4 linked regions of the Yarrowia lipolytica genome follow. The protein of the gene in region 1 interacts with the protein of each later gene in a pairwise test. Links are inferred from orthologs where the notes say so. Each region holds a gene or a part of one and is shown on either strand. Other genes may lie near its edges. The genes, in order: YALI1_D06195g, YALI1_B27399g, YALI1_D02316g and YALI1_A05031g.

The links.
Region 2: the proteins of YALI1_D06195g (region 1) and YALI1_B27399g interact in a protein complementation assay, tested with the Saccharomyces cerevisiae proteins (2 studies listed by BioGRID). The link is inferred for Yarrowia lipolytica from reciprocal best matches to the Saccharomyces cerevisiae genes PMC1 and SNA4.
Region 3: the proteins of YALI1_D06195g (region 1) and YALI1_D02316g interact in a protein complementation assay, tested with the Saccharomyces cerevisiae proteins (2 studies listed by BioGRID). The link is inferred for Yarrowia lipolytica from reciprocal best matches to the Saccharomyces cerevisiae genes PMC1 and YPQ2.
Region 4: the proteins of YALI1_D06195g (region 1) and YALI1_A05031g interact in binary tests that used the Saccharomyces cerevisiae proteins (3 or more experiments, as listed by UniProt). The link is inferred for Yarrowia lipolytica from reciprocal best matches to the Saccharomyces cerevisiae genes PMC1 and FTH1.

Annotation. Positions count from the first base shown.
Region 1 is NC_090773.1:613,701-623,643, forward strand, and holds YALI1_D06195g (uncharacterized protein), read right to left. Parts: upstream 6,096-9,943; coding exon 5,985-6,095; intron 5,838-5,984; coding exon 2,184-5,837; downstream 1-2,183. Other genes in the region: YALI1_D06131g (uncharacterized protein), read left to right, coding at 1-830; YALI1_D06152g (uncharacterized protein), read left to right, coding at 1,523-1,546, 1,622-1,759, 1,819-2,004; YALI1_D06233g (uncharacterized protein), read right to left, coding at 9,389-9,604. UniProt on the Saccharomyces cerevisiae protein: This magnesium-dependent enzyme catalyzes the hydrolysis of ATP coupled with the transport of calcium. Transports the calcium to the vacuole and participates in the control of the cytosolic free calcium.
Region 2 is NC_090771.1:2,736,647-2,743,382, forward strand, and holds YALI1_B27399g (uncharacterized protein), read right to left. Parts: upstream 3,238-6,736; coding exon 2,857-3,237; downstream 1-2,856. Other genes in the region: YALI1_B27360g (uncharacterized protein), read left to right, coding at 1-1,486; YALI1_B27404g (uncharacterized protein), read left to right, coding at 3,742-4,530; YALI1_B27429g (uncharacterized protein), read right to left, coding at 4,602-6,278.
Region 3 is NC_090773.1:227,500-234,892, forward strand, and holds YALI1_D02316g (uncharacterized protein), read left to right. Parts: upstream 1-4,131; coding exon 4,132-5,106; downstream 5,107-7,393. Other genes in the region: YALI1_D02275g (uncharacterized protein), read left to right, coding at 14-1,891; YALI1_D02345g (uncharacterized protein), read right to left, coding at 6,268-7,050; YALI1_D02348g (uncharacterized protein), read left to right, coding at 7,329-7,393. UniProt on the Saccharomyces cerevisiae protein: Amino acid transporter that moves arginine across the vacuolar membrane. Active during nitrogen starvation when it exports stored vacuolar arginine to the cytosol, for use as a nitrogen source.
Region 4 is NC_090770.1:499,898-507,400, forward strand, and holds YALI1_A05031g (uncharacterized protein), read right to left. Parts: upstream 3,297-7,503; coding exon 2,076-3,296; downstream 1-2,075. Other genes in the region: YALI1_A05003g (uncharacterized protein), read left to right, coding at 438-1,061; YALI1_A05052g (uncharacterized protein), read left to right, coding at 5,379-7,503. UniProt on the Saccharomyces cerevisiae protein: High affinity iron transporter probably involved in transport of intravacuolar stores of iron.

The sequences.
Region 1 (9,943 bases):
GATACGAGATGGCCCAATACTTCAACTGTGGCCCCGAGGAGGAGCGAATTGACATGCTCGGTATGAACGATTACTCGTGGTGCGGAAACTCCACCTACGAGGAGTCCGACTACGAGGCCAAGGTCAAGGCCTACGGCAACTACTCCATCCCCATTTTCCTGTCCGAGTTTGGCTGCAACGAGATCCGACACAACGCCAAGGGAAACCCCGAGCGGCCCTTCACTGAGATTGAGACCCTGTACTCCGACAAGATGACCCCCGTCTTCTCTGGTGGTCTGGTCTACGAGTACTCTCAGGAGTCCAACGATTACGGTATTGTCAAGATCGACGGCGACTCCGTCTCCAAGTTTAACGGCGAGTTCGACATCATCAAGGCTGCCTTTGCCAAGGCCAACCCCCAGGGTGACGGTGGATACAAGAAGGATGGCAAGTCCTCCACTTGTCCTGCTCGATCCAACACCTGGGAGGGTGATGGACCCATTCCCGGCATTGTTCCCCGAGCTAAGGACTACATGAAGAACGGTGCTGGCAAGCCCGAGGGTCTGTCTCAGCAGTCCACCCAGGAGGGTGACTCTCACGAGTCCGGTCTCGACACCATTGGCAACAAGGACCCCAAAGAGTCTGATCCTGACTCCAACAAGTCCGACTCCTCTTCTTCCGGCTCTTCCGGATCTTCCAGCTCTGCTTCCTCCTCCGGCTCTGCCTCTGGTTCTGCCTCTTCTGCCTCTTCCACTGCCTCTGGCTCTTCTGGCAGCCAAAACTCCGCTGCTGCCAACGCCCCCGCTGCCGGCGTTCTTGCTGCTGCCGCCATCATGGCCGCTCTTTTGTAAACAAATTAATTTATTTTAGATGAGCACGGCACCCCGCCACCATGATATAGATGATTTATATATTAATACACGAGATGATTTACGGTGATACTTTTAGAGCGCGAGAGCAGCTTGTACTCGTACTGGGATTGAACTAAAAAGATGCGCCAATCAACTACAGTATTATGGTAGAAACGAAAATACTCACTTCTCCAATTGGAGAAAATCCTTCATTTTCACTCTGAATGTCAGTTCATGAACGACCTGATTGGGCTGCCAACTGTTCACTGTCCGCGTCACGTCAAATTGCCTTCAAACAAAACCCAAGTTTGGGATCGGCCCATTTGAGAACCTGGGGTTGCTACGGTTACCGCGGTCTCCCAAGCAACGGAAATAAGCTTCCTCTTCATAGCCTTTTTTCCTGAGACTGACTCTACTGTGTGAGTGCACATTTATGAAATTTAGACTCCCACACGCGTTCAACGCAGGGCAAAGGGAGAGGAGAGACGACGAGCAGGGTGTTGAAACGGCCGAAAATGGGCACGCTTGGGCGGTAAAAGCGTTGCAGGTGTAAGATGGGAAATATTGGGACGTTATCCTTATATATTCTGTTTTTTTACACTTCACAGAATAAATATAGGCCAAAACGCGTTCCACGTCTTACCGAGACGCGCACTTGTAATTATAGCTAATAACCGGTTACACATCTCTGTATGATCGTCAACCTACAAGCACTTGTACTTGTACTCACAAAACCATTAATTTAATCACAATTGAGTGCAAGCGGGAACAAACGAGGCCCTCTGGCCCAGCCGGTGCATGCCAACGCCAAGCGAATGATGCTCGACATAGCCATGTCCGACTGGATGGTGTACTTTTACGAAACCGTTAACTCCACCGAAGAGAATCCTGCCCTTCTCACAGTGCCCCGAATCCCAGCCTTCAAGCGAGTTATATCTGCTACAGGGATATCAGGGACTCGGTGATGAATGATCTCATCATTCTCCAGGCCCAAAGAGACACTACGAAGATGGCTGACAATGCGCAGGAACTGAACACTCGAAAGGACGGCTCCAAGGCCCGAGTTCAGCCCATTCATGCCATCAACTACTTCTACAAGAGCTGGGTGGATATGGGCGCCAAAACTGGGACAAGCACTACTTGTAGGGTGCCTAAGACGGCGGGCCTTACTTAGCCCTTACTGATGTGATAGAGTGGGCCACAGCAGAGTATACCCCGGGCGCAGCCGCCTCTAGGACAGCCAATGGCCCAGCGGAGTAATAATTCGGCAAAGTGGTGAAAGTATTTACTTTCGATGTCATCAAATCAAATAGATAATTCATTAGCATGCTATACAATAAGTCAATAAATACATTAGTTGGAGGGAGGCTTGAGCTCTGGGTTCCATCCGGCAACCGCTCCGCCCACAATGGCGGGAACCATGACCAAGGCTCCAATGGAAGAGCCCCGAGATGAAGACCGAGAAGAAGAACCTCCGGGAGAGGTGGGGGAAGTGTTACCATTGTTGCCGTTACCAGATCCACCGTAGTGGGCTCCGGGAACTGCCAGGTGACCGTCGTTTTCGGTCCATCGGTCTCGTCCAGACTCATCAAAGACGGTCTGGGTAGGGCTAGCGGTGGTCGTACTGACTGAGGGCTCCTTCTTGGACAGGGAAGCCACTGAGTTGGCTCTAGATCGCTGGAACATTTGTCGGATCTTGACAGGCACCAGGTTGGGTACTTGGTACATTCGGCCTCCTCGCAGAGCTCGCATGAACTCGAGCTGCACACGGGCCTCCTCAATACCGGAGTGCCACTTGTAGTCGGATCCCTGGAAGCCATCGTCCCGGGGAACGTGAATCTCGACAATCTCCTTGTTCTTGGGTCGCATGATTCGCCACAACTTGGAGATCCAGTTGTGCAGGAACTGGGGGTACATGGCGGAGATCCAGGCGTCCGGAATTAGACGTAGAAGCATACCGGCGGGGAGAGAAATAACACCACAAATGAGGGAAGTGGCCCACTGGCCGCCGTTGAGGTGCACAATGGAAAAGGCAGCACCTCCGACAAACATGATGAGGACCTGGAAACCGCCAATGATGACCACAATGAGAATGAAGAAGATGTTTCGGTGAATACCTGAGAACATGTTCATCTTGTTATCGAGTCGTCGGTTGACAAAGAGGTTAAAAAACTGCATCCACACGAAGGTGTTGAACACGGTGGCGTCCAGCTCGTCTTGCTGTCTGGGAGTATCCACGGTCCAGAAGTACTTGCCGGCGAAGAATAGCACAAAGGTAACGCCCAGCTGGAAAATGGCCTGGCCGAAAATCATCTTCCACATGGTCACGGTGATGAGGTTCTGTGACTTTCGGTCGGGCTTTCGCTCCAGCACGTCAGGAGAAGGAGGGTCGGTGGCCAAAGCAAGAGCGGCAAGAGTGTCCATAATCAGATTGACCCACAGAAGCTGAACGGCTGTCAGCACAGACTTTCCGTGCTTGTTGACGACGGCAGAAACAAAGGTCAGAACGACAGCAGTAACGTTGACGGTCAACTGGAACTGCAGGAACTTCTTCACAGCGTCGTTGACGGTTCGGCCCCACATGATAGCCTTGACAATGGAGGAGAAGTTGTCGTCCATCAGAATAATGGACGAAGCCTCCTTGGCAACCTCAGTACCTGCAATACCCATGGAGAAACCCACGTCGGCCAGCTTCAAGGCAGGACCATCGTTGGTACCATCACCAGTGACAGCAACGGTCTCGCCCATCTCCTTGAGAGCTTTGACGAGAATTCGCTTGTCTTCAGGGGAAGATCGGGCAAGAACCTGGAGTTGGGGAAGCATCTCTTTCATCTCGTGGTCGGCAAGTCGTCGGAAGACAGGTCCTTCCATCACCAGGCCGCCCTCAGAGTAGATGCCACACTCTCGAGCAATGGCCTTGGCAGTGTTGACGTTATCTCCAGTAACCATTCGGACAATGACACCGGCCGACTGACAGTCGGCAACAGCCTTGGTGACACCCTCTCGAAGAGGATCCATGATACCAATGAGACCAAAGAGAGTCAGGTCGGAGAACATAGGTTCAAATTCGGCCTGTGAAGAGTCGTCAGAAGAGGCCATGCCCTTAGGGGGCCAGGAAGAACACTCAAAGTCTCGGTAGGCAAGAGCAATGCCACGAAGAGACTGCTCGCCATAGTGGAGAATCTTCTGGTCAATGTCCTGTCGCTGTTCTTTAGTGATGGGAGAAACGACATTGTTGTTGTAGATCATTGAAGACTGGGCAGACAGAACCTCGGAGGCTCCCTTGATATACATTCGGTAAAAGCCCTTCATCTTGAGAATCACAGCCATGCACTTTCGAGACGAGTCAAAGGGCACAATCTGTACAATCTCACGAGCGTCTCGCTGGTTGGCAAGGTTTTGAAGACCCATGTAGAGGTGAGCGAAGTTGAGGAGAGCGGTCTCGGTCTTGGATCCCACAAACCGTTCGGCGTCAGTGTCGGCAATCTGGTCGGTCTCAAACGCGGTGGTGTTAAACACGATGGACTCAAAGAGAATCTCTCGGGCCTCGGCAGGAAGAGTCTCGAAGAACTGGGTGATTTCCTCTACCGCAAACTCCTCGACTCCAATAGTTCCTCGGGTGACAGTCATTCGGTTCTCAGTCAGAGTTCCGGTCTTGTCAGAACACACTGTGGTGGCATTACCCATAGTCTCACATGCTCGCAGCTCTCGCACAAGGTTATTGTCCTTGAGCATTCGAGTGGTAGCAAAGGCCAGGGCGAGAGTCACAGCCAGGGGCAGACCCTCAGGAACAGCCACGACAATAATGGTGATAGCGGTAATCAAAATGTCCATAAACTCGTTACCCTTTTCGGCAGGGGTGTCCTTGTTGCCGGGGAGACGGGCGCAGAATCGGATGAAAAGAACAATGAACAGAATCAGAGCAGCAAGACCACCGGCCTTGGCGATGCCCTCGGCAATGTCGTTGAGCTTTGCCTGCAGAGGAGTGGCCTCGTCCTCAATGTTGAGAGAGAGCAGGGTCTTTCCAAACAAAGAGTTGGGTCCAACTGCAGTAACAACATAGGTACCAATACCCTCAAGCACCTTAGAACCAGACAGAATGAAGGGATCAACCTTGCCTCGAGTAAGTCCGTCGACCCGGCTCTCGTAAGCAGTCATGGCGTCGAAACCAGACATTTTCTTCATGGTGTCGGTCTCACCGGTAGCAGAGGACTCATCGCACTTGATGTTGTGGCCCGAAACAAGGATACCGTCTGCTGGGATCATATCTCCAGGCTCCAGAAGTACCAGATCACCTACCAGAAGATCGGCGATGGGCACTTCCTGGGTCTTTCCACTTCTAATTACACGAATCATTCGATCTTCCTTTTTTTTGTTGAGTTTGACGAACCGCAATTCCTTCTGCCAATCGTTACCTGCTCCAACCACAACCACAATGATAATGGCGACCATGATTGCAACTCCCTCGACCCAGTCGACCTTGGGCAGCTTTCGACCCTGGGCGTCGTGCTCGGCGGGCTGGCCAAAGGTCTCATACAGACCCAGAGCCAGCGAGATGATGGCAGCAACTGTCAACAGAATAAGCACCTTATCTTGGAGCGCCATCCACATGAGGTAGAAGAGCGACTTTGCCTTCTTTTCGGGAAGAATGTTGCGGTCGTATGCTTCGATTCGTGCGTCTCGGGCACCAGCGTCCTCCTCGGACAGACCCGACTGAAGATTAGTGTTGAGATCAGTGGCGAGTCCCTCCAGACCACCCATCTCTGCCAGCACAAACACCGACTTGGGGTCGATCAGGTGGCTGAGCTGCTTGGGGGCCCATTTGTATCCTCCGGCCAGTGTGCCGTCTGCGTCTTCATTGAGGTGCTGTTGTGCTTCTTCTGCGTGTGTCGAAAAATCCGAGTCGTTACATGTCGAGGGTGTGGCTGTTTCCTCCTTGATCGTGGGGGAGTATGAATTGGTTGGTTCGATCAGAACCGGGGGGTGTTTTTCGTCTGCATCGACAATCTGGGTTAGTTTGAAACTGCGGGTCTTCACACCCCACATCATCATCATAACAAGATGTGATATCACTGCCTTGACAACACAAGACGACACCACACCGTCACTGTGCACGCTCCATTCACTGTGATTCCTTCACTGCCTCTCACTCACACTGGTGTCGATGGATATCACGGGGGGCGCCTGGGGGTTCATTATTGCACCTGGAGTACCTTGTGGCGTACTATCTGTATGTGTCGGGGGGTCTTGGGTCGTGTCTGGCATTTCGGATCACACAGCAGACACCGTCAAGAATATATTGGATCTGAGAGAAGGAGAGAGGCTGCGAAAAGTCCAAAGAGGGAAAACGCAAAAGGAAAAAGTGAAACCTCCTGTCTCTCCGTATGTGTGTGCCTGTCTCTTGTTCAAACGCCGCCCCGCCGTTCCGGCAGCAGCAGCAGCATGCGCGTGTGGTCTAAGCATCAAATAAAGAGCTTGTTTGGACTTTAGTTCGGCGCCGTCTTTCTTTCTATCCCTAGGCAACAAGCAAGCTAATCGCCGTGCAAAGTCTATCTACGGCCTGATGAAGCCAAACAGTAGCCGAACCTCAGCTCTAAGGGTTCACAGCTCACGGTCTGTGCCTGCTTGGTCGTCGGACCCCGTACATGCCTGCTGCGCCTCGCCTCTTGACTCGTGTTTGCCGTGGACGTGCAAATCAGAGGGCAGCTGATTACCTTTCAAGGTGAAAATTAAAAGTGCATTTAGGGTTGCAGGGCGGACTTGAAAGGTGGTTGTGTAGGACTGTAGTCGACTCCGGTTGAGGTCTTTGCGACTTGTAATCGTCATAATAGTCGCCCAATTCCCTCTCAATCTACTCCTTAATCTCTATCAGTGCAGTATCCACTAACACCTCTGTGTTGAAGCCGCACTATGGCGTGTGCAATTGTGCTTCAGGGCTGCAGAGTATCACCAATCTTGTCCCAAACCAGCAAAAGTTTGTTGCACAGCCCCCCAGGTTTCCTGCTCCAGAGCAAGCCGGTCAGGTGGACTACCGGCTGTGCGAGGACTGCGGATTTCGCCCTTGAAACGTGTTCACGTGATGAAATCTGTTCACTGCCGTTCTGGAGGACCGCAAGTGCATGTCCAGCTCACTCTCATCCCCCAAGAACCCACCAGGCTGTGCACTCTTGGCACACAGCTACAAAACTCTGTTGAGACACGTTCTCACGAAGGCTCAGCCCCCGCCGTAGTGGATGCCATCTGGGATGATGGGGGTAAAAACATGGGTTGAAGTTGAAGTCGGTTATTGATTGACCGAGTTGCGAATACTGGATCGGTTTCGAACTTGAAACTGCTTCCATTGCTGTGCTTCGCCCTCTCTCCAAAGTGCTCTATATACATAGCATCTCCTACATCCTGTGTAAACACCATATCTCACAGTAAGAAGTAAAACGACTCGAGCTCACGCTACCGCTACGGCATTGTCAAACTTTCTCCATTTGTACTCGTCGCAGTTACAAGTACGTCGTAGTTCAACCAAAGAATTCCTTGAAACGTGTGAAAAAAATATTCTTGTTACGTCCGAATGGGGAAAAACTCACCTCATTGTGACACTGTTTGTCGCCTCTATACTTTGAGCTGTTGAGTCACATCACTAGTCACCAAACTTAGAGTAGCTGGGCAATAGTGTGAAGTAACACTGCTGAAGGGAATACGTCCTCCACCTGACCCTGAAAGCCGGCGATTCGATACCATTTGTGTTTGATATTCGTACGTACGTACAGTCACAATGAGGCTGGCCAACATCGGCACTCCCGAAAGTCCATTCCCGGTGCACGGCAACTGCACCTCTAGGTTTCACAGTCTTGGCCTGTATAGATGGATAGCGAGGATAAGCCTAAGCCGTCGGGCCGGGGTTTCCTCAGGGTATCTATACTCTGTCCAGCTCGTCGACAGAGCCCTGGCAGACGACGGCTTGGGGTTTGGAGGGGAAAACTGCAAAATAAAGTCATGAGCACTGCCCAGGTGGAGATGGTGGGCATCGTGGGACCGCATTGCCAAGAAGATACGGCTGGACGTTATGAAACCAAACAGAGACACAGGTGCATGTGCTAGTCCGTCATAGATAGATGATAAGCAGCTATGGTGCGATTCCAGTGGATCCGAACCAATAGTTTTCGCTGATATGTGTTATCCCCCAGTTACAAACTAGATTCGGGCAATACGAGAGATCGTGCGATCACCCGAAATTGGCTCTGTCTGGTGTTTCTAGACTTTATGATTCCAACCTCTGGCCGGACGTTGAGCCATTCTCGCCGGCTAAAAGACTTGTGCACGTTTTAATATGTTCAAGGGATCACTACTATACGGCTCTCCACCTCGAAACTGCGCCTCTTCAACTCAGTGCTCGCCAAGTCCATAGCCAAGCCCATTGTATTGACTTGGCCAAACACTACCATTAACCATCATTGACAAAGTCGAGATAAAAATCTTCGCGCGGGGCTGTGCTGTAATTAAACCCAGAGAGCTAATGGATCTTCAGCTCTCACGCAACCCGTCAACCTACAAGTAGCAACTGGGCCGTCTCTAGACAGAGTTGGCTGCTCAAGGTCAATGAGTTATAGACAATCAAGGTGTAGCAAAGACATGCCGAACTAGGTCATAACCCCTGAGGTTCGGAGTCATGGAGACTGAAAAGCACGTGTATGGGCTGTGCACTTGTAAAAACAAACTTGTTTTGAACTCTGGGTTATTCGTCGTGTCGAATATTACGCCCCAGTCCATGAAAAAAAAAGACATTGGAGCCGTCGGTAGAGTCCAAGGTGGATGGATTATGACAATGATTTGGCCAAGTGTCCCAGTACCGTATCTAGAGTACTCTCGTATCATTATTGATGTTTTATTCCGTTCCATTAACCACAGTCATGCCTGCATGTCACAATGACTTGATGCTGTCTCCGCCAGCTAAGCTGCTGTTCGGGTGCAAGAGACTCTAAAAACGACAAATACCCCTAATGGTACCAGACCACTCGATACTGAAAAGGAAACTTATCCTCAGTTCAAATCCTTCATCTACACCGCCCAGTGACTAACTCCAGCTTAAGATCCACTTCAAGGCGGAGCAGTGAATGACCGCAGTCAGTTTCCATTCGCCACCTCCACAAGGTTGATTACGCAGCCCAGAAGACCCTGACTCAGTTACCTGCTTCCAAGAAAAGAGAAGCAAGATGACGTAGTGCCATTTGTGGCGCACGGACCGGATCATACATTATCCATGCGATGAGCCGAGCGGTGGAAAGTCCTCGTATGAGTACAATACACGATACAGATGTGGCGCAAGGAACCATGAACACAGTGGCAGTACATTTTTTAGTCATGTGATTTTTATTGGGAGCTCGGAGGTCTCACAGTGATCTTGACTTTAAAAATCGTCATCATACCTATCATATGGTCTTGTGCTGGCGCCACTGGTTGTTTACATAATCACACTACAGTAGCGAGTACAAGTAAAACACTGGAAATACAAATATTATCAATTAGTTAGAATCAAAAACTCAATTGGACCGGATAATCACAGATTAGGCACCGCCCTCCCGCTTGGCGTACTCCTCCTCCATTCGCTCGAGGTACTCCTGAGTAGCAACCTCCTCGGGCTTAGCGGGGTTGGGGGTGGTGTCAGGCTTCTTCTCGAAGGTCTTGGGATCGTGATGCTTGTGGCCATGGTCATGCTGAGTGCCCTCGCCCTTGTTTGCAAGGATTTCGTCACCAGTCTTGGAAGTAACAGGAAGACCCATAGTTGTAGTTGTAATGTGTGGTGTAGTGTGGGGTGAGGAAGTTACTTGGGGTTGGTGAGATTTGTTGGAGGGTAGTTAGGCAACTTTATTCGATGTCTTGCTACCTTGGAAAGTGTGTAGAATATGATCTGGGAGAGCAATATGCACGCTATATATACTGTTGGGATCGCCGGACGAGCTAAAATACCGCTGCGAATGACGTGTTTTCACAGGCCCCATGACTCACTTAACATTGCGACTTTTGAGCAATTGTTGGTGGCGCTTGCAGGCCTGCAACTACTGTTGCATGTCTGCACGGTAAATATCCCCAAGGTTGGGAGTTGGGAGGAGGAGGAACAC
Region 2 (6,736 bases), on another chromosome or scaffold:
CGAAAAGTACACCTACGATCACGAGTACGCGCGCGAACGAAAACGACTGCGAAAACACCTGGAAAAACGACGAGATAGAGAAAACCCGGGCGTGCCGATAAAACTGCCACCACCAGACATGACCCGGGTCACAGGATACCTCAAGCCCAACTCGCAACTGCTGGAGAAGATAGTCAAAGCCTTTACAGAAGCCCTGGCGGGACATAGACAGTCACTAGTGACCCTCAACGCCTCCAACCAGGAATCCATTCTGTCCACCTCCGTAGTCATCTTTATGATTGCCCTCGCGCTTGGAGAACTGATTCCCCTCATCAACTTTGAAGGAGGAGCCGACGTGATTGGAGTAGGAAGAGGCGTGATTGAGCTGGTGTTCCAGCTGTCGGCCAAGGATAGAATGGTGCTATTCCCTCTACCTCCTCCCATGCCCAACAGATCATACCTTCCCAACGAACCTGTGCTTTGGCAGCTTATCTCTACAATCCCCGACATGGGCCACCGACAAATGTGTTCTATGGAGCTACAACAGCTGATAGAGCTCTACAATCTGGACGTCAAACACCGGGGCCAATCACATCTTCCCGGTTGGGCTACTTACATCTCTGGAGGCTTCCTGCAAGCTACTCGAGCAGGAGACCCGTACTGTTTGGTTATTCTGGGCCACTACTGCGCATTTGCGCACATGTCTCATTCATTTTTCTGGCTTCGAGATCGTCTCAGTGGCGACTTGGAAGCTATCGTTGATGTGCTTCCTGAGGAGTTCCATCACTATCTGGAATGGCCTCGTTCCATTTGTGGTAGATTCGACATGAACTACCAGGATCTTATTTCTGGCAGACTCCAAAAGCTGACCCTGGACGACAAGGATGAGAAGATCGAGCCTGCTCACTCCGAACTGGGACCCGGGCCTTCCCAAGAAGGACACCAACAACACTATGACGGCCCCATGCTTGATCTGTTGCAACAGCAACAACAACAGCAGCCCCAACAGCCCATCCCTCAAGTGTCTCAACAACAGCAACTCGACCAACTGGACCAACAGCAGCTTACACAAGACCAGATGCTACAGTCCCCACCAGAGCGACGGCAGTCCAACCACAGTCAACTGGGACTCTCCGACAACCAGGATCCACATATCCAACAACATATTCTTCACCAACAACAGCAGCAACAGCAACAGCAGCAACAGCAGCAGCATCAACAGCAGCAGCATCAACAGCAGCAGCATCAACAGCAGCAGCAGCATCAGCATCAGCATCAGCAGCAACAACCACAACAACACCATCAACATCAACAACCACAACAACCGCAGCATTCTGGAGATCTACATCACTCTGATCTGCCTCCACCTCCGGAGCAGCAGATTCCGGATATGGGAGATATGTATCAGTACAGCAACCCGGGTCCGTCAGGCCATGTGGATCATCATTCGCTAAAGATGGATCACAATTCATCAACCCACGGATCGATGCTTTCGTATGGGCCTTAGTGGATTGCGACGATGCGGTTCAATGCATTTGTTTCTAGGATGGACAGGCTCACTTCTTTGTCTTCCGTCTTGGAACAACAAATAACAGAGGCTTTTATTTAATCTCGGTTGTCAATGCCAAGCTCATTTTCGGGCTAGTCCTTATTTATTTGTATAATATGAAAACGAGATGTTCTCTTCCTATATTTCGAATTATGGATATTGTATCTGTTCCTGGTGTCTCATGTCGTAGGTACAAGTGTCGTAGCTTGTCACGGTCATTTGGGTTCCAAGGATGGAATAATTCAGCTAAGGCACTAGCGGGGGACTAATGCGGGCCTACAATAGCGCTCTGCTAAACTTCAGACCGTAGCCTGCATAGTCTTGTTTGCCGTCAAGCGGGGGTATATACTGAATTTATTGGCTGCTGGTTCCTCCATGTGGGATTATTTATTTAGCCTTGTCAACAGGAACGATATAAGATACGTTATGAGACTGCAAAATCGAGTCTTGAAAGCCAAAGAAACAGCCAAAAAACACCCAAAAGTACCCTGGTGATCCCACTACGACGGACGGCGCTCCCGCTGGACTATCTCCCTTTCTCCGAGTGGTATAGGGGACATGACACCGTGTTGGAGTTTTAGTGCCATTCTGAGTTGCTGTAGATTGCATCATCACAACCCAGCGCTGCGCTGGCTGCCGCCAGGGTCACCTTGAAACTTTGGCTATGCTACGGTTGGGCACGGGCCGTGTCCGTGTGGTCTCCTGTTCTGATCGCGATTTTCGTTTCGGTAAAAGGCGCGGATTATCATATAGCGAGACACGAGCTGGCCTGCAGATCCGACATGTCCGACCCAAGGCATGTTGGATGACATGTACTGCTGCTAGTGTATTTCTGAGGCTGTTATAGTGTGTATTTGATAATATCAATGGGATCGGAGCACAAGGGAACAAGGGGAGGCCTATGATATCTCCACACCCCAGATATCGTAGTTGCGTTTGTCTGCGGGGCCTGCATCACGTATTACGATGGAGTTTTTCTCCTTCCCGTATTGAAAGATGGTTCGTGTGCGCACATACCCAGGGCTGTAGAAGAGCGTTTAAAGGACGTATACAAGTGTCTTATTCGTTAATAAAAGGGCCGATTACAACCCTCAATAACGGTTGGATAGGTACGCTACTCACTTAATGACCGCAAGTGGCAAAAGGGAAAGGGGTACATAAACACCGCAGTCCATGCAAGATTGCGCAGCGTTATATACTTATAGAGAGAGAGGGTGGTTCTATTCATAAGCGAATACGATGTCTGCCTACTACACAATAATTGTCATACGAGAATGGGTGCTGGTGCTGTAGAAATGTCACGTTAACTTACTTATAAAGATACCCACTTACCCAGAGTAAGGAGGAGGGCGGTTGGTGTTGTCCTTCTTGTTGTCCAGAGAAGTGTAGTACTCCCCGGAAGGAGGAGCTTGGTGCTGGGGCTGCTGCTGGTGGCTGCTGGAAGGACCGGCTCGTTCGAGATCAGAAGAGCCGTAGAAGGTCTGCTCGGAGCCGTTGACAGGAGCGTAGCCGCCATGCCGACATCCATGCTCGTCACCGGGATATTTCGAGATGATGTAAAAGGCATGAATCAGGCCGGGCAGGAAACCGAGGCAGCACAAAGCCACATTGATGAAGAAATCTGCGGAACAGACACCTCGTCGAATGGCAACTGGAATTGGGGGGAAGAAAACCGCCACAATGACAAGAAGAAGGTCGGTGCAGCTCATGGTGATGTGTGTGGATGTGTGCGATGGGGGTTTAGAGGCGGACCTGGGCTGTTACTCAGGGGTTGTAACTTGTGCTTGTATATCTGTGTCGTTTAGAAGACGTCACAGGTGTATATAGTTGAGTGGGTTTGCGGTTTAAGCAAGGCGTTGGTATGGTGATATATAGGGCTTGCTTGACGATGGTGGCGAACTAAACTCCATAATTAGGGTTCGGGTATTCCCACAGCGGGTGATGTCATGATACAGCCCAAGGCTTCATCTGGAATATTGTATGGTATATGTCAATGTTTTAGGAAGTCTATATTTTTGTGTGTAGAGACCATGTAGTAGCGAAATGTGAAAAAAATTCTCCAAAGTCGCCAAAATCGAACGCTCAATCTACAGAAAACACACTACAATGTAGTTGTATCTCGCCACTGACACAACCATGCGGCTCAAAGCCCATCAGAGTTAGGCTCACGAATCTTTTGATGAGAGCCTCACGATAACAACAGAACACACCAGATGAAGCGAAACCTGGAGGAGTACACGGCAGGACCGTTGAACGAAGATACAGGCCAGCGATCGGCATTTCCGCTGGACGAGCAAGTGGCCGACCTGGACCTTGAAGGGCCCCCTATGGATGTCGCTCAGTATCTAGCCCAGGTGAAACGAGAAGCAAACCAGAGTCCAGCATTTACGACAGTCAAAGGACAGAGACGTGCCACAACACCCTCAACATACTCGAAGAAATACACGGAGATGTCTCTTGTTATGCCACTATCTGTTATCAACGAGTGGAGAGTGGAGATCAGAAAGTCATTCATGGAGTTACGGAAAACTGTGCAATCGCATGGAGATGAACGACCTGAACTACCAGCTGATTCAGAGCTACCGACAACATTTTCAAAATGGAAAACGTTCATTTCGGGCTCTTCTTCTCCCGAACCAACACTACAATTCATTGCATCGTTGCCCCACCAGCAATTGTTCATGCTCTTGGAGTACTGTCATAAATGGCTGGGACCTAAAATCAGCCGTGGTCTCAGTATATGGCTCATGGGTCTGTTGTCGTGTCTGCCCGACATTCTAGACGCGTCAGAGCAGGCGTCAGTACGGAGTCTGGGTAAACGAGCTCTGGAGATTCTACAGAACCCCAAATATGATCGACTGACAGACGTTACGGAATTTGCATTGAAATCAGTCGTCATCATTTGTGCCGACGTCTACCACCAGCATGATCTCGTCGAAACTGTTGCAATTATGGAACGAGAACGTCCTGTTCAAGTGAATGAGATTGTTCTTGACTACTAAGCATTACACGTCGGAGATACAACTATTACTTGTACTTGTACAACACATCAATTTTTATAAGTTATGCATGCTTAATGAGCAAATCTGAAATCCAACCGCCGACTTCCCTTGTCTGTCGAGTTTTGAGCGTACTCCTCTCGCTCTTCTTTGGACATGGCGCTCCACTTTCGATCTCTTCGTTTGTTAATGGTGACATAGAAGATCTTCGTCACAATGAGCAAAGCGATTGTTGCTCCACTGATAATAATCAGTTGGGTGTTTCCCCTGTGGTAGAATGGAGCATCATCCTTTCGATAGATCTGTGTGGCAGCAACACCTCCAGCTTGGACGCACATGTTGTACATGGCGGCAGACACTGTTCTTTGAGACACAGTGTTGGAGTTTCTGGAAGTCCATGCCACAACAACAGCATGGATGTAGGGCCCTCCAAGAAGAAGGACTAGAATGGTGTAGGTACACCAGACATTAATACCCGATTCAGGGTAGAAACGGAGAGCAATCACCAATACCATGACCCACAGGGGTTGAATGATACTGACGAGGGACCGCTCATTGATCTTTTCAGACAGCCAAGTGAAGGACAACAAAAGAATCATTTTAAGAACACTCACTGGGATGGTCAACAAGTTTGTGTTGAAGGGAGAAAAACCCAGGTGTCGAAGAGTTAGAGTCAAGTAGGTTCCTTCGGGACTGTCTCCAATGTATGCCAGAAGACCAATGGCATAGATGGGCCACATGTAGAAGTCAGACAGACACTTGTAGAGAGTGAATGGGGTAATTGCTTGTCGGTTATGAAAGTCACCCTTGTACGGGTCGTCTCGTAGAACTCGATTGACCACAATCTTCTCTTCTCGGTCAGTGAACCAACCGTTTGGTCTGAACCACTTCTTGGTACTGACAGCCGAAGCTGGCATTCTGAAAAAAGAGGCTAGTCCGATACACAGAGTTATGAGTCCTTCAATGATGAACAGCCATCTCCAGCCAGCCAAACCTCCAGAGTGGATTCTCAAAATTCCAAAGGCCAAGAGCGAAGTCAGAACGTTCACGAGATACAAACCAGTCCAGAAAAAGGAGAGTCTGATGGACAATTCTTTTGAGGTGTAAAAGTACGACAACCAAAGAACCAGGTCAGGAATGAATCCTCCCTCCAAGAGACCAATGAGACTTCGCGTAGCATAGAACGAAGATTTTCCCTGAAGGGCTCCTTGACACATGGCTACCGCACTCCACAGACAGATCTGGATTGGAATCCACCGATCAGGACCTAAACGTTTGGAAACCAGCTGAGACGGAATCTCAGCACTCATGAAAGACAGATAGAAGATCATGTTTCCGTAGTTGTACTCGTTGGTGGTCAGCTTCAGGTCTTCTAGAAGATTATCAGACACAGCCTGAGCCAAGTTGTTTCGGTCAATCTGCAGTCCCCAGAACATAATACATGCCCAGCCAGCGACCCTCCACTCCATCTTTCTCTTGACACGTTTCTCTTCGTCCTTGGTCCACTCGAAATCGGGATCAAACACATGTCTGCTTTCGTATTGAGAGTCCTCATAGAGCTGTCGGAACTTTTCAGCAACATTTGGATCAGTGAATGGGTTCTTGTGATCTCCAGATCCGTCGAGGACTCCGTCGAACTTTTCGTCTTCTGTTGCAGACAGGCCTTCAGTAGAAGAGACCTCAGCCGTCTCATAGTCGACGGAAGCCGCAGATACAGCCTTTTCCTTGACAAATGGGTTTTTGAACTGCATTGCGAGAATAATCCGGTCGCACACACCTCACCCAAGATTATATACTGTCTGTCAAGCCACTCTCCAGCCCGAATATAACTCATCGTGGCTTGCACAACCGTATGGACGGTGGTATTGAAAGGTGGCTTTGGTTCAGACATACGCGATAAATATAGGCTTTAATTTCGGGATCTTGGGGTCCTCGGTAAGGTAACCTTGATTCCCCGGACACCCCCACATGGTCTCTATCGTGCATATGGTGATACTCCTATCGACGCATGCCAAGAGGAGGTTAGACAGAACTTGCAGACGAAGTCTTGGCAGATATCACTCGTAGAATACTGGTAGATGATCATTCAGGATGAAAACAGGTCTCGTCAAACACTCCCCCAAATCTTAACCAACAGGCACGAGAGCGGATACACCTTCGGAATGGGGAGTGTTGCGCATGACAAGCTTTGTGGCCTCAAACAACGTTG
Region 3 (7,393 bases), about 390 kb from region 1:
CCACCCTCACAACATGAAACTCACCACAACCACTTTGCTGGCACTATCGAGCCTGGCAAGCGCATTCAGACCGTTTTCGGGCCACGATGAAATCGCTAAAGCTGCTAGAGAAAACGTGCCCTCCCTTGGAGAACCACAAGCAGCCATTCTTCCGAAATCTCCCTTCAAGAAGGCCGCCTCCTCTCCCCTCCAAAACAAAGCCTCTTCAGGAGGCACTTCAGTAGCTACATCGTCAGTGGACTGCAAACGGTTCGTCCCCATCGAACAGGACGGTGGTGACGTGTCCTATTACGTCAACACCCAGCTGGGCTCTTCCCAGGCAGAGTACAGAATGGTGCTCGATACTGGCTCATATTACATGTGGGTGTACAGCGAAAATTGCACCAGTACAGCCTGCATGAAGCGAAACCGCTTTGGTGTTGACAACTCCACCACCATCAAGCCCACAGACCATACCTACTCCATTTCCTACACCAGCGGTGACATTGATGGCGACATTGTGGTGGACAACATGACCCTGGGAGCCACCACGTCCCGCACGCAGTTTGGAACAGCCAACCAGGCTGACCCCAGCTTCGCCAGCTTTGCCATTGACGGCATTATGGGCCTTTCGGCTGTCGACAAGAGCGAATCCAACTTCCCATCCCTCATTTCCGTCCTCAAGGACCAGGGCCAGATCGATCAGCGGGTCTTTGGTGTGTCTCTGGGACGAACTGCTGACAATACCGACGGAGCGCTTGTTCTGGGCGACTACGATCACGCTGCTGTCGACGGAGACATTTCCTGGGCAGATGTGCAGTCTGGAACAGCTCTCTGGAAGGTCTCTGTAGATGGAGCGTATGTAGGAGGTAATCAGGTTGATTTCGGCGCCTCACGAAACGCCATTGTCGACACTGGAACCACTCTGCTCGTCATGCCCCCCGAGGACGCTATGAAGTTCCATGGATACATTCCTAACTCGCAGACTGATGGCAAGAATTACGCTATCCCCTGTGATTCGACCGTTTCCATCGAGATTGAGGTTGCCGGAACCAAATGGGCCATCTCGCCCAAGGATTACATTGGTTTCAAGTATACAGACGGCTCCGGACTGTGTGCTTCCAATGTTCAGGGTCTCAAGACTGGCAACGATGGCCAGCAGTGGATCCTGGGCGCTGTATTCATGAAGAACGTGTACACGGTCTTTGATATGGACAAGAAGCGAGTTGGGTTCGCCAATAAAAAGGAGACCGATGTGAACTCCAAGTGCAACGACTTTGTCAAGCAGTACCAGAGTGACCATAAGGAGGCTGCCAAGGGGGCTAGCAGTAGCGAGTCATCTAGTGCCTCGTCCACTTCCGAGTCTTCTAGTTCCACTTCCGAGTCTACTTCAGCTACCTCCACAGAATCTGCTTCTTCGGCCGAGTCCTCTTCAGCCACTTCCACCGAATTCTCCTCTTCTTCTGAGTCTTCTTCTGCTTCCAGCTCTGAAACCTCCTCCAAGGCTTCCAGCACTAGCTCTTCCGAGTCTAGCTCTTCTGAGAGCAGCTCCAAGGCTTCTACCACATCTGAGTCGAGTTCCAAGTCTTCGGAAAGCTCCGCTTCTTCTCCCTCTAGCACAGAAGCCATTCCTTCTGCCTCGGGCCTCATCGCCAACGGTGGCTCTTACAACACTACCCTCAGCAGTAGTGTTGCTTCTGGGGGTTCGGGAAGCTCTTCTAGAGGTTCGACCGAGGCTTCTTCTACCTCAGATGCTTCTTCGGCATCGTCATCTGATGCCTCTTCCCCTGCTTCTGCAGAGTCAGCTGCTGCTTCAGCTGCTCCTACACCTTCCGCTAACAAAAATGGCGGCGCTTCGCTGCTGGTCAGCCTTCCCCTGGCCCTCCTCCCCTTCATCCTTCATTGCATGTAACCGTAGTAAGGGTTACCTCAGCACTTGCATAATATTTAACAAAATGAATCCTTTGATGATTAGATCTGAGTACATACTGTACTTGTATGTAGTAGAGTAATTTTAGGCCCAATTATCGATTAAACTGCAGATATGAAATTTGCTCGTACATTTGCAGAAAAAAAAAGATCTTGTGTGATACTAGAACTGAGTCCGAACAGTTGAACCCACAGGACACTTGGATCAGGATCTAACTCCTGCTACAGAAATTTTATAGCAAAAATAATGACACCATAAAATTCCCCGTAGTTACATTTACATACAAAAGTGTCCTTGTTTTCGGTCCAAAGCGACTCTGTTGGATTCCAACCAAGTTGTCCGACTATCATCACATTTCAGGTCTGTACGGTGTTTTGATTTTTCCCAGAGTCAAAACAGTGTGAGACAAGCAGCACTGAGACACCGGGAATGATTGAGTTTGAGGAAGAGGGGAGGATATAATTAGAAAAACACAACAGAAAAGCAAGTCTTCTCTGTGTGTATTCAGGTCACGTAGCCATTACGTTACTTTTCGTCTCAAATGTCCGCCCATTAGATGACTCGTTCGTGTGCAGTATGTACTGTACTGGCACAGTAGATACCAGTTTGGTCTCGCTGATTGGCTACGCGCAACTTTATTCCACGCACGGCTTCACGTGGGATCTAAAAACAAAGACCGCACGTGAGCGGAAGTGGGTGCGGAAACGGTGCATGAATGGAGGAGGCAGTGGCTACGTTAGGCCATTCTAGAACCGACTAAAGCCGTATTACGTCGTCGGTGTAATGAGATTGCCGCCTCGAATACTCGGCTAACAACGGCTACCTCTTCAGATAGCTGTATATGCCGATTATCCAACTCTGATGGACCTCCAATTAGGTTGCTTGGGCGCCGATCAGAGTTAGATGATGGACTGTATGATAAGAGCGTCCCTGTATCGTCTCGAAACAGTGCGACAACCTCGTTGGTAGGTATATATGTTTAAGACGTGTTGCATAGCAGCCTTCCGACCTGCTACATCTCTTAGCCCTCTATAACACTTGGCATATAGAGTGTCGTACATGCCGTACAGTTATGTAGTGTGATTTAAAAGACCCTGTGTTATCGGTGCCAATTACAACGCTTTGATACTGCACTGTAGCGAGGTAAACGCCATATCAGGGTGTGTTTAAAAAATATACAACATGGGTAAATCAGAAGTAGAATCGGAAAGCAAGACAGAGAGGGTGGAGTATTCAACCCAGAGTGGGAGATCAGAAATACCAAGAACAAATAAATCGCCGCCAGCATGTAGCCATTAACTTGACACCTGCCACTCGACCGTTCCTGACTACAAGTAGCTCCTCGGACGTTCCGGTTACCCCTCTTGACTTGACGTTTTGTAGTCGGAATGCTATATCCGCCCTACTCTACGTAACAGTACATACATAACCACGCCTACAAGTAGTCAGGGAGCCCACGGACGATCCTACTATGAATAAAACGGCTCTAGACGATACTAAACGGGTCTACACAATATTTAACGGGTCTAGACGATATTTCCTCCGTCAAATATTGGTCTTTGCTCCCCCAGTCTCTCTCCGTCTGGTCTATTTCTGGACTAAGCGGTTCGCGCCTTGTCACTGTAATTCCCTTCGCAACTCCCACATGACTCTACACCCAGGTTGCGCCAAAGCGCCCCCACAGAGTCTATGTTGAGTGACATAATAAGCGAGCCGCGAAAGAGAGTGAGTAAAAGTAGACATTTGGCGGTTTGGAGACAATAAATAGAAGCGAAAAAAAAAAACAACACCACCAACAACGACCAAGAGCAAGGTGTGTAACACACCGACCTCGGAGCAACTCCGTCCGCCCGCTAACTCCACCCTCTCCCCCAATGTTGTGCTGATGCACCATCCCACATACCACTCAAACTCTATCTACCCTTATCTCCTGGGCTTATCAGCTGCCGTTCACATGTATATAGAAGAGAGGGGGGACGGACATACCTGGTAAACGATACTTCATACAAGATAGAGCACTGAAGACGTTCTAGACGACAACAACAGCGATAGAGAAGATATCAACAGCGATTAAGACGACATCAGTACAGCCACAGCCACAACTACAGCCACAACCACAGCCACTGTCGACCCATACCTGCCACACCATACAGTCATAACACGGCCACAGTCTTAGCCACACCCATCAAAGACACATTTCGAAACCCACACACCTTCTCAACATGCGCGAAGAAGCTCTCAAACTCATCTCCCAGGGACTCACCCAGCTGTGTATAGTCATCTGGGTGGTGGCTCTGGCATACCAGTGCTACGCCAACTTCCGAAACAAAAGAGTGGACGGATTTTCGTTTGGATTCCTTCTCTGCTGGATTGGAGGAGACACGTTTGCATTGTGGGGTGCTCTGCTGACCCACCAGCTGCCGTTCCAAATCTTTCTCGCCACATACTACTGCGGCATTGACGCGATTCTCCTCTCGCAGTACTTTTACTACGAGACTCTGGGCTATGGAGCTCACAAAATGGAGAGCACGGGCCCCGAAGTGACCGAAATCGAGGTCCTGGACGGCTACACAAACACTCCTATCGAGTTGGAGCGCAAGGGCAAAGCTCCTATCGAAATCCGAACCAAGAAAGCCACACCTGGCGGTCTTTCGGTCACACCCTCCCCAAACTACTACAGCATTTCGGCCTCGTCCTCGTCCGTGCCCAAGTTCATTCCCGGAAGCGTCACCAAGGCGTTTCTGGCAGCCTCCTTTGGAGCCTCTAGAGCCGCAGCTGCTCCCATTGTCATGAAGGGGGTTAAGACGGTTGTAGACAACACAGATGCCCACATGTCCACGGCAGCCATTCCTCTCCTCTCAGCTCTCACTCTCGGCATCTTTGTGTCCTACACATCCTCTCTTCTCTACACAGTGTCGCGAATCCCCCAGGTGTACAAGAACTACAAGCGGCAGAGCACTGAGAACATGGGTCTGGCCATGTTCATTGCTGCCTGCTGTGGAAACGCCACCTACTCTATGTCCATCTTTGCCATTGGATTGACGCTGGAGGAGTCAGTGAGACGGGCCTTCTTCATCAAAGAAGCTCCGTTTGTCGGAGCTGCCAGCATAACTGTGCTGTTCGACTTTGTCATTTTCTGGCAGCGATGGAAGTATGGAGAGGGAAGAAAGGCGGAGACGCTGCCGCTATTGGCCTAGACAGCCTTTAGAGGCTGGTACAAGTTTTCGAACAGTCCTAGAGTACACAGTACATGTGCAAGACCTGTTACAATGTGCACTTGTACGGCCCGTTCTTGCCCTCTTGAACGGGTATGAGCATAGACATAGCATTATTTATTTATGAGATTAACGATACAAGAATTGTAGGTACAGGTTGTAAAGCGACACAAAGCAGCATAATCAACACAAAGGCAACATAATCACTACTGTACTTGAACAAAAACAATACAAAAACAGCAATACTTCCTTGGATCGCTTCTCGTGACTCCAGGTTGTAAAACTGTCTACTGCATGCTGTACCCCTCTCCCCTCTTTGGCTTGTTTATGACACCCTTGTCCAACTGACCCTGTCTCACATGTCATTCTCGCTTGGATTGTCTTGAATAGGAAAATATTCCCTGGCTGGTGTGGGTGGACCGGGGTTGGTGAATGTGAAGATCAGTATTATAATACGTAGAATTTCTGAGCAAGAGTTTTAGATACAGTATTTTGTATTGTACAGCACGAGTGATACATCCGTGGGAACGGCTGAAAATGAACTTGGTGGACAACTCGAGGAATAGTAGAGATGATGGGAAACAACAACGGGGAAGAAGAAGGTATAAATAGTATCTCTATATGGTTTTACTTTGGAACTAGTATTTGGAAAGTCGGTTGAGTGAGGTGCTTTCTCATGGGTGTAGGTAGTGGGTTGATGACACCGGAGCAGTTAGGTGGAACGTTGTCGTATATCATGCTATCGGAAGAGGGGCTCTTTTAGTGAGTAATCCAAGGTGTCTTTCGTATGGAAACGGATCAGCAGAAGAATCATTAGGTATCCGTCTATGAGGATGTTTTTGGTGTTTCTTCCAAGCTTATCGGATATTCCTAAATGATACCAAGTAATTGGTCAACAAAAGGTCACTGTAATACAAGAGAAAATACTCCAATACTCCTACATGGTACTGTAATCACAGTACAAGTACATACTACAGGGATTATGTACATGATGTGGGATGTTGCCAGTGCTGCCCAAGGAAACCGAGGCTCCAGGATTATGACATAGCTACCCCATGGTTCCTGTCGCCAGTAACATATGACCAGACCCTTCACAGCCGTGATCGACCCTGGGTATTGTTGACGTACGGCTGCTCATTAGTACTACTTCTTCCTCTTCTTCGACTTTTGCTGACTACCACTTCCCCTCCTCCACAAAGCCTCAACATCCAACCTATACCTCTCGAGCTCACTAGCCGGATCTACCGACGACAGAGCATCTCCCACCTTCTCCAATAACCCCCCATTACCCAAAATAGGACCCAGCTTCGACATGATGTGGTAAATGCCAATGCACCAGCCCGATTCTTCATCGGTGGCAGTTGCCCAGGCCAGGGTCACGAGGTAATCTTGTAGGGAATCAAAATCCTCGGGAGAAATGGACTCAAAAAGATTGAAAGAAACAAGGTAACCCTTGCCTATAATTTCTTTTGTGGCGGTTCGTCGCATTGCCACCCAATGGGCTTGATGTCGTCGAATGTCAATGTTGCGTTTGTACAAGTTTGGACCCATATATCTGGAAGCGATACCCCACAACTGGCTCATACTGTACTGGGTAGGGGTGTCCATGACCAGAGTAGTAAGCACATGCTCAATGGCTGAAAGCAGCTTGATGACAGACAGTAAGTCGTGGGGATCGTCCAAAGAAGCCACTGTCGCAGCCAGATCTCGTTCAAGTAGCGTTCTTTCTGTGTCTGTTATTCGAGGACCATTGTGAGGCACTGCCATGAGATACTGAGTGTTGTCATCGAGCAGTTTTTGGAGCTGGGTTGCTGCAAAGCTCCCGCTTGATCGGTCGTAGCTGGATATTTCACATTTCGGTGGCTGCTTGCTGTATCCCGTTGCCAATGGCGCTGTGAACGGGTTTTCTGGTTTGTCAATGTTCATGTTTGGAGTGATGAAGGTTGAGTTGAAGATTGGGTTTGAGAGTGGCCGAGTACAGTGATTGGAATCGGTTCTTGAGCGTGATCAAAAAAGATTGTTGGTTTTTCAGGGAAACAAAAACGGTCCCAGAAATTAATCGCGCCATCATCTGTCCCTCTTATTCTGGCTTTTTTCTCTCCAGTCTCGCACCATTTCGGCGACACGCATGCCTCCTGCACTGCACTGTACATGCAGAACTATTTGTATTCTCCTCAGACAAGATCACCAAAGTAATCGTCACCATGTCCTTCAGAGGAGTTCCAGTATCATCTGCAGAGGCAAAACAGCGCCAAGAGCGAGATCTCGC
Region 4 (7,503 bases), on another chromosome or scaffold:
GTACCAAAGCGACCACCAGAAAGGGCTTTTGCCGACTTCTGAAGTCCAAAGCGAGGTCTAGCGAGGTTTAAATCGGCCCCAACACGGTTGCAAAACACTTTAAACCCGCTCTTAATCGCTGGTGTCCTTTTTTCTCCCTCTCTTATACTCCTGTCGATGCTGTATCTGGGTCTGAGACAGCCTATCTCGGCTGATATCAGATGGAGGAACTTTAGGACGAGGTTGCATGAGGGGGATTCATTGGCCAAAAGGAGGAGTTTATAACTTTTTTAAAAATATATAAAAATTAAAATATGAACGAAAACATCGCTCTCAATTTATGGGAAATTTTTGTGATTTAATACAAAATGTTTTCCCGCCATTAGAACCCCCACCTCTCCCCGCTAATAAAGTTAGATTAACGCCACCGCTGCATATTCGACGTGCTAACATTGCTGATGAGCCTCTTTTTCTCCTCCTCCACAACAACACATCACATCACACTCCACACCATGAAACTGTCCATTCTGCCTTTGATCGCCCTCGCCACGGCCGTGGTCGCCTCGCCCGCGCCCGATGCAAACTCCATGAAGCTCATGAACCAGGCCAAGGACTTCGGCATGTCGGTTGCCCAGGGAGGACTCAAGGACATTGCAAAGACCCTGGACGACGAAGACATCCCCGGAGACTCGCCCATCTCGCTGTGCGACGCCGAATACGAGCAGCTGCTGGAAATCAAACACCTGTCCATCGACCCCAACCCCCCGGCCAAGGGCCAGAACCTCACCATCGAGGCGTCCGGATACCTCTACGAGGACGTTGAGGAGGGCGCCTACATCGAGGTCGAGGTGCGATACGGCTACATCCGGCTCATCAGCCAGACTCTGGACCTGTGCGAGCAGTCCGAACAGGTCGACTGGTCCTGCCCCATTAAGGCCGGCGACCTCAAGCTCAACAAGCAAATTGAGCTGCCCAACGAGATTCCTCCCGGAAAGTACGTTGCCGTCGCCCGAGCCTACACCGTTGATGACGATCTCATCACCTGTCTTCTTACCACTGTTACCTTCCCTGCTTCTTTGTAGGTCGAATGATAACAGCATAGTATGGCGTCCCCCCTCAGTACCGCGCACAACTAACTGCATATAATTGATGAATGATGACTATTTTAGAGTGGGGGAGAAGCTAGCCAAGAGTCCAGGGCTGTTGAGAATCTTGGAGACAAACTGTGCTATGGCAAACGGTACTGTAGACATGTTCACACGGGCAGCATGAAAGCTTACCAGCTAGCTGAGGTTATCTACAGGTGCAAGTATCGTATGTACTTGTAGTTGGTTGCTACATAGTTGGGTATGTTTTAATACTGATATCGAAACATTCATAGTAGTTATTCGGTCTGAAAAAACAACAGCTTGATTGAGCATGGAACTCGATCTTCCTAGAAGTTGGAAGAGACGCCAGCATACACAGATGGTAGATCTACCCTACACTTCGATGAGTTTCAGACCATTCGCGAGAACTATTCAGTTTACTCACTTTCTACAAGTACACCCACTGACTCGAACCCGGACCCGCCAAAGAACAACCGACAAGGCTGTATCTAGATTTAAAACACTATCTGCAAGCGGATTTCGACAAGCGGATTTATCCAACATGGAGCTCTTCCCATGTTTGATGGTCGTGCCCCGGTCGTGCCCCGAGTCGCATGCCAGGTATGTTGCCCGTAGCTACCTGTACACTCATTGAATAGACCTCTACCAGACATGTTGAAACCATAAGCACTCACGATCTACGCTCATGTGCCTGCGTTCTTCATATCTGCTCAATAATTGCTCAACCGTCTCAGATACCTACATTATCTGTCTGCGTTATCTCAACCTTTAGGTCGATTAGATATTTGCTCATGCAACGGCGATGGTATTCTAACTGTAAGGTTGCTGTCTACAGACTGAGGAGTACTCATCAGGGGTGTGTATATATCATATGTTCATATTTATCATGCACCGGAGTTCGGTGTTGTGTCACAAGTACTCAAAATATAAAAAAGTACCAGTGGTTGGTCATGTCTGCATTCAGCATGGTCGAGTCCTTGATCCCACTTAAGAAGTGCTGGCAAGAAGAGGAGCGTCAGAGTCCACAGACTCTCGGTTCTCGGCCGCGGTGTTGGCCGAGTTGGGCATGCTGTTGGTGCCGTACTGGGAGCTCTTGTTAGTGCCCTGGCCCTCAACGTTCATATCAGCGGAGTAAACAGCCGAGGCTCGCTGGAAGAGTCGGTCCTCGTCGTCGTTCTGAGGAAGTCGAGTAAACTTCTTGGACTGCCACGCTCGAGGGTACAGGGGGTTGTAGCCAGTCTTCTCCTTGACCAAAGACACGTAGACGGCCACAATGATGAAGATCCAGTAAAAGTTGTAGGAGATGACAGAGCCGTAGGTGGCCGAGTTGGTCCATCCAAACAGCGCGTTGGCAATCATCCATCCTCCATCGGTCTGACCGTTGCAGCAGTTGACGTGCCACACGGACTTGGTGATGTCGTAGGAGCCGGGTCCAGAGCCGGTCTCAGATACGTCCATACCAACTCTGTTAACGAACTGCTGCAGCTCCAGGAACCACACTCCACGGGAGAAAAGACCGGCGGCCACCAGGTACAGGAAGCACGTGGAGCCAATGAGGAAGTAGTTGATGGAGATGGCGTTGCCATACTTGTACATGGCGTAACCAATGAAAGCACCAAGGGCAATGGCGGTGATGACGGGAAGGGGGAAAGCAGAGAAAGGCTGGTTGACACCGATACCGCCGAGGAAAACCACGGCCTCCATTCCCTCTCGAAGGGTGGTCACAAACGGTAGGATGGCCAGAGCGTACTTTCGAGACAGGTACTTGAGGCCCCAGCCGCCGTGGCCCTCGTGGGTCTCGACCAGAATCTTGGCAATCTTGTGTCGCCACTTTTCTCGCATCTTGTTGATTCGCAGCATGGCGGCTCCCATGATGGTGATAATGATGGACGAGACAATGGAGAAGACGCCCTCCCACACGTTCTCAGTCATGCCCCACAGATCGTGTCCGTAGATGTAAAAGGTGGCAATGAACGCACCTCCCACGGCCAGACAGATGAGCAGACCGAAGATTCCACCCAGCCATACCTGGGTAACAAGCCGTCGATACACTTGCAAGTCCTTCTGGGACACATTATCGCCCAGACCCTGGTTGAGGAACGCCAGAAGCACGGAGATGATAATCGCCGTCTCAATGGTCTCTCGGAAGATGATGAAGAAGACCTGAACCGAGAAATAATTCTCGAAAAAGTCCGCGTAGTTGACCATGTTGTGTTGTGGAGTACAACCTGGAAAGAGTGAGTCTGGTAATTAAAAGCGACTTTTCAAAATAAGCTCCGTAGGGGTTAGAGTTGGGCGGCGTGGTGGTGGACATTTATCAAGGGGCAATCGGGGGTTATAGGGGCGGAATTTGAACGCAAAAAACAGATCATCCCACTACTAACGCGACAATAAATAGATTCAAAACATCTCCCGTTCAATTTGGCCGTCCCTATAGCTCTTTAAACGCCTCTCTTATCTGATGTTGCTCCATCTGATAACTGCACAACCTAATTATCCGGAGCCTATTTTTCTGCGTATAACCGTAACGGAGGAAACAACAAAACGGTGGCAACAGCTCCCAGAATCGTCGCAAACCGGGAAGTAAAAGGCGAAAATTCCTCACAGTCACGTGAGAAGTTTGTGCCCGTCACATGATGTCCAGGGTTCCGTCTTGGGTTCCTGGTACCCTGTTATTTCGCCATCCCATCACTCCGCCACCCCACACACCCATAACCCTTGACTAGCACGGCTCATTAACAAAAAGGCAAAAGGGAAGCATCGTCACGTTGCGGCTAATTGGAAGTGTATGGAGGAATCAATTTAGAGAAGTTTGGCGCAGTCCGATCAAAGCACAAGTGGCATAGAACGACTCCTCAGAACGAGCCAATCAAAAACGGTATGTTTTTCTCCCACATTGGACTCTTATTAAGCAACTAGAACTCCACCGAAACTGATTCGGAGCGAATCTACCTTGCACCTGAGTTCCGTTATAAAGTGGAATGTTCATCTCCGACAACAGAACTCACACAACTTGCCCAATTGAGCTCCGATTGGGCCGCCAGAAATTTCAGTACATCTGCTGTCCCTCGCTGACCATTTCTATATATAAATATTGCCATTGTACCCCGTCAAAACAGACACAGACTAGAACTAGGCATTGCCAAAGTTTACAGCAATACCCTGCACTCTTGCAACAGAACATACACTAAACATGCGCGACAATGGTTTAGAACGGCGCTCGGGGTTTCTCCTTTCCTTTTTATCCGCATTAGTCACGTGCGGCCAAGACTTTCCACCCTCAACTGCATACTATCTGCGTCCCCGTTAGCCACTTTGAGTGCAACTACGGTGGGTCTGTTTAGTCCAGATCGTCTTCTCAACAGGGTTGTATTTTGTAGTTAGTTGCAAGGAGGTAAAAGACTATAAACCCGAAAGACCTTGTTTGTGAATGCGAATCCACGTGAGTTCACGTGGTTGGCACGTGGCTGTATGCCTACGACTGTTCTGGTCAGGCTGTCACTTGTGCATTCTTTTTTTTTCCTTTCTTTTGTCGAGTTCGTTAGCAACATGCACTCGGAGTCCGAGCGGAGCTACAAGCACTCACCAAGGAACCACAAGCCACAGTGGCGCAGCCGAATGAGACACGGCGCACCGATCAGATAACGTCATCTGATAAGAGGGGAAGAGCTTGTTCGTCAGTGCCGTGTAGTTTCAGGGCCGTTTGGAGTGTCATACGTTGAAAACTGTAGTGCATAAAAGACAGTCGTTGTGTCAAGGCTAATCCTCTTTAGTTGAATGTTTGTTAGGAAAGGGTGTTCTGTGATACCGCAAGTTATAATTTTTTAACATATATTTCAGAAATACTAGGGGAATTTCAAGCCTGAAATGACAAAGAAAGTGTTCAGATTGTAGAACTGAATGAACAGAACGAATTGGGACCATCTTTTCCATTCATTTGTACACACCCACTCGATCCAGCAGAACCGATTGGGAATGCCACACTCAGACAATTAGTTAAGATTAGTTGGAATCAAGCGCACTTATTTGTTATGTTTTTTATTAACGGAGGGATCTCTCAGAGAACTCATTGATCTAACTAAGGCAATATGAACAAGACAAATTGTCATAAAGAGACCATTCCAAACCACACCATATCCTCTATCATTCCCCTGGGACTCTTCCTACGCATCCTACGACGTGGTTTGGTTCTCCCTATTCTGCTCACCATCTAGCCCTAACCTCCATGCATCTCAATGCACGTTTAAAAATTATTTTTCCAGGCTGAATATTTCCGTACACACTCACACCATGGCTATCAAACAGAATGCGAAAAAGGGCGGCAAGCCTGGCAAGCCAGGTGGAAAGCCTCCTGGTGGGGGCAAGCCTGCTGGCGGCAAGAAGGTGTTTCGAAAAATCAAAAACGGCTTTGTGGAGCCTCGAAAAGCGAAAGCGGCCAAGGGTACGACTGTGGCAGCCATGGACATTGTTTCTGCTGCTGATCTGAGTGCCAGCGAGAGCGAAGACGAAAACAAGTTGAAGGATTTCGCCAAGTTTGACGATGATGAAGAGGAGAAGGAAGACAAGGGTGGCAAGGCCGAGAAGGACGTCAAGAAGGATGTCCAGAAGGACGTCAAGAAGGATGTCCAGAAGGATGTCCAGAAGGATGTCAAGAAGAGTGTCAAGAAGGATGTCCAGAAGGCTGGCAAGAAGGATACCCAAAAGGATGTCAAGAAGGCTGATGCTAAAACTAACAGCGCCATTGAGGGTTTCGCACAAGCCACTAAAGGTGAAGAGGCTGAGGTCTCTGTGCCTGCGAAGGAAGTTAACAAGGCTGCCAAGAAGGAGGACAAGGATGTGAAAAAGGACACTAAGACAAAGGATACTGTCAAGACTAAGGTCAAGGCTGCTGTTTTACCCGAATCTGACGCAGAAATGGACAACTGGTCAGATGCCGAGTTTTCAGACGGTGGGGAAACCATCGATCTTCCTGCACCCGGAACAAAGCCTCTCGACATTAACAAAATGAACTGGAAGAAGGTTGAGCTAGGCGACAAGAAGATGGACTTTGAGGGTTTCTACGGACTTGAAGAGCTGGACGGTGTTGATATTGTGGTCAACAACGGCCTTCCTACTTTTGTTGTAGGGGAGAAGCCTGAGAAGAAGAACTCTAAGAAAGAGACCAAGAAGGCCGAAGTTAAGAAGGATAAGTCTGGGGATGCCTCTGAGCCAGCCAAGAAGAAGGCCAAGGTTGCCAAGGACGGAAAGGACGGCAAGGAGGTTGCCAAGACTCAACCTAAACAGAACAGCAAGAAAAAGGCCGAGGGAAACGCATTTGAGGCCCTCAATAGTGTGCCCGACGACATTCATCTCCCTGACTGGACTCTCAACGGCGAGCAGCTTAACTACTCCCTCATCCAGGGCCTGTATGCTCTTGGCTACAAGTCTCCTACAGAAATTCAGAAGAAGTCGATCCCACCCATTCTGGCGGGTGATGACGTGATTGGAAAGGCCAGTACCGGTAGTGGTAAGACGCTGGCGTACGGTCTGCCGATTTTGCATCGATTTTTGGAGGCTGAGAAGTCAGACAAGAAGGAGGAGGTCGAGGAGGAGGTCCCTGAGAAGTGTACTACCAAACCCAGACCTAAGAAGGTGACCAAGATGACCGGACAGGAAGAAAAGAAGGACGACGAGGAAGAGGAAGAGCGATTCGATATGTACGATGAGGCTCCCGAGCCCCGCTTTGATATTTCCGACCGACCTGCTGACCTTCCTGTGCTTGACAAGGAGCGAGAAGACCGAGAAAACGAGGTGGAGATGGACGAAGAGACCGAAAAGGTGGAGAGAGACATGTCTTCTGTTAAGCCTCCTCAGGCCATTGTTTTTGCCCCCACCCGAGAGCTTGCTCATCAGATCACCGACCATTTGAATGCCGTGTCTCAGTTCTGTCCTATTTCTGGACCGCGAGTCATGGCTCTGACCGGTGGACTGTCTATCATGAAGCAGCGACGTCTCATGAAATGGAACCCTGCCATCGTTGTCGCCACCCCAGGTCGATTCCACGAGTTCATCACCGATACCGACGGCATGGTTGATGTGTTTAAGCGAACCAAGACTGTGGTAATGGACGAAGCCGATCGAATGCTTCAGGATGGACACTATGAGGATCTTGACAAGGCCCTGGATCTCATTGGACGAGGAAAGGTGGCCAAACGACAGACATGTGTGTTTTCAGCCACCTTCCAGAAGTCGCTCATGTTCAAGCTGGACAAGAAGCGAAAGCAAAGAACAGGTCTGGCCACCGATCAGGAAACCATCCGATTCCTCGTGTCCAAGATGAAGTTCCGACAGTTCCATCCTACTTTTGTGGACGCCAACCCTGCCGAAGTTGTCGCTCGACAGGTTCTGGAGAGTATCGTCGAGTGTGGCGCCATGG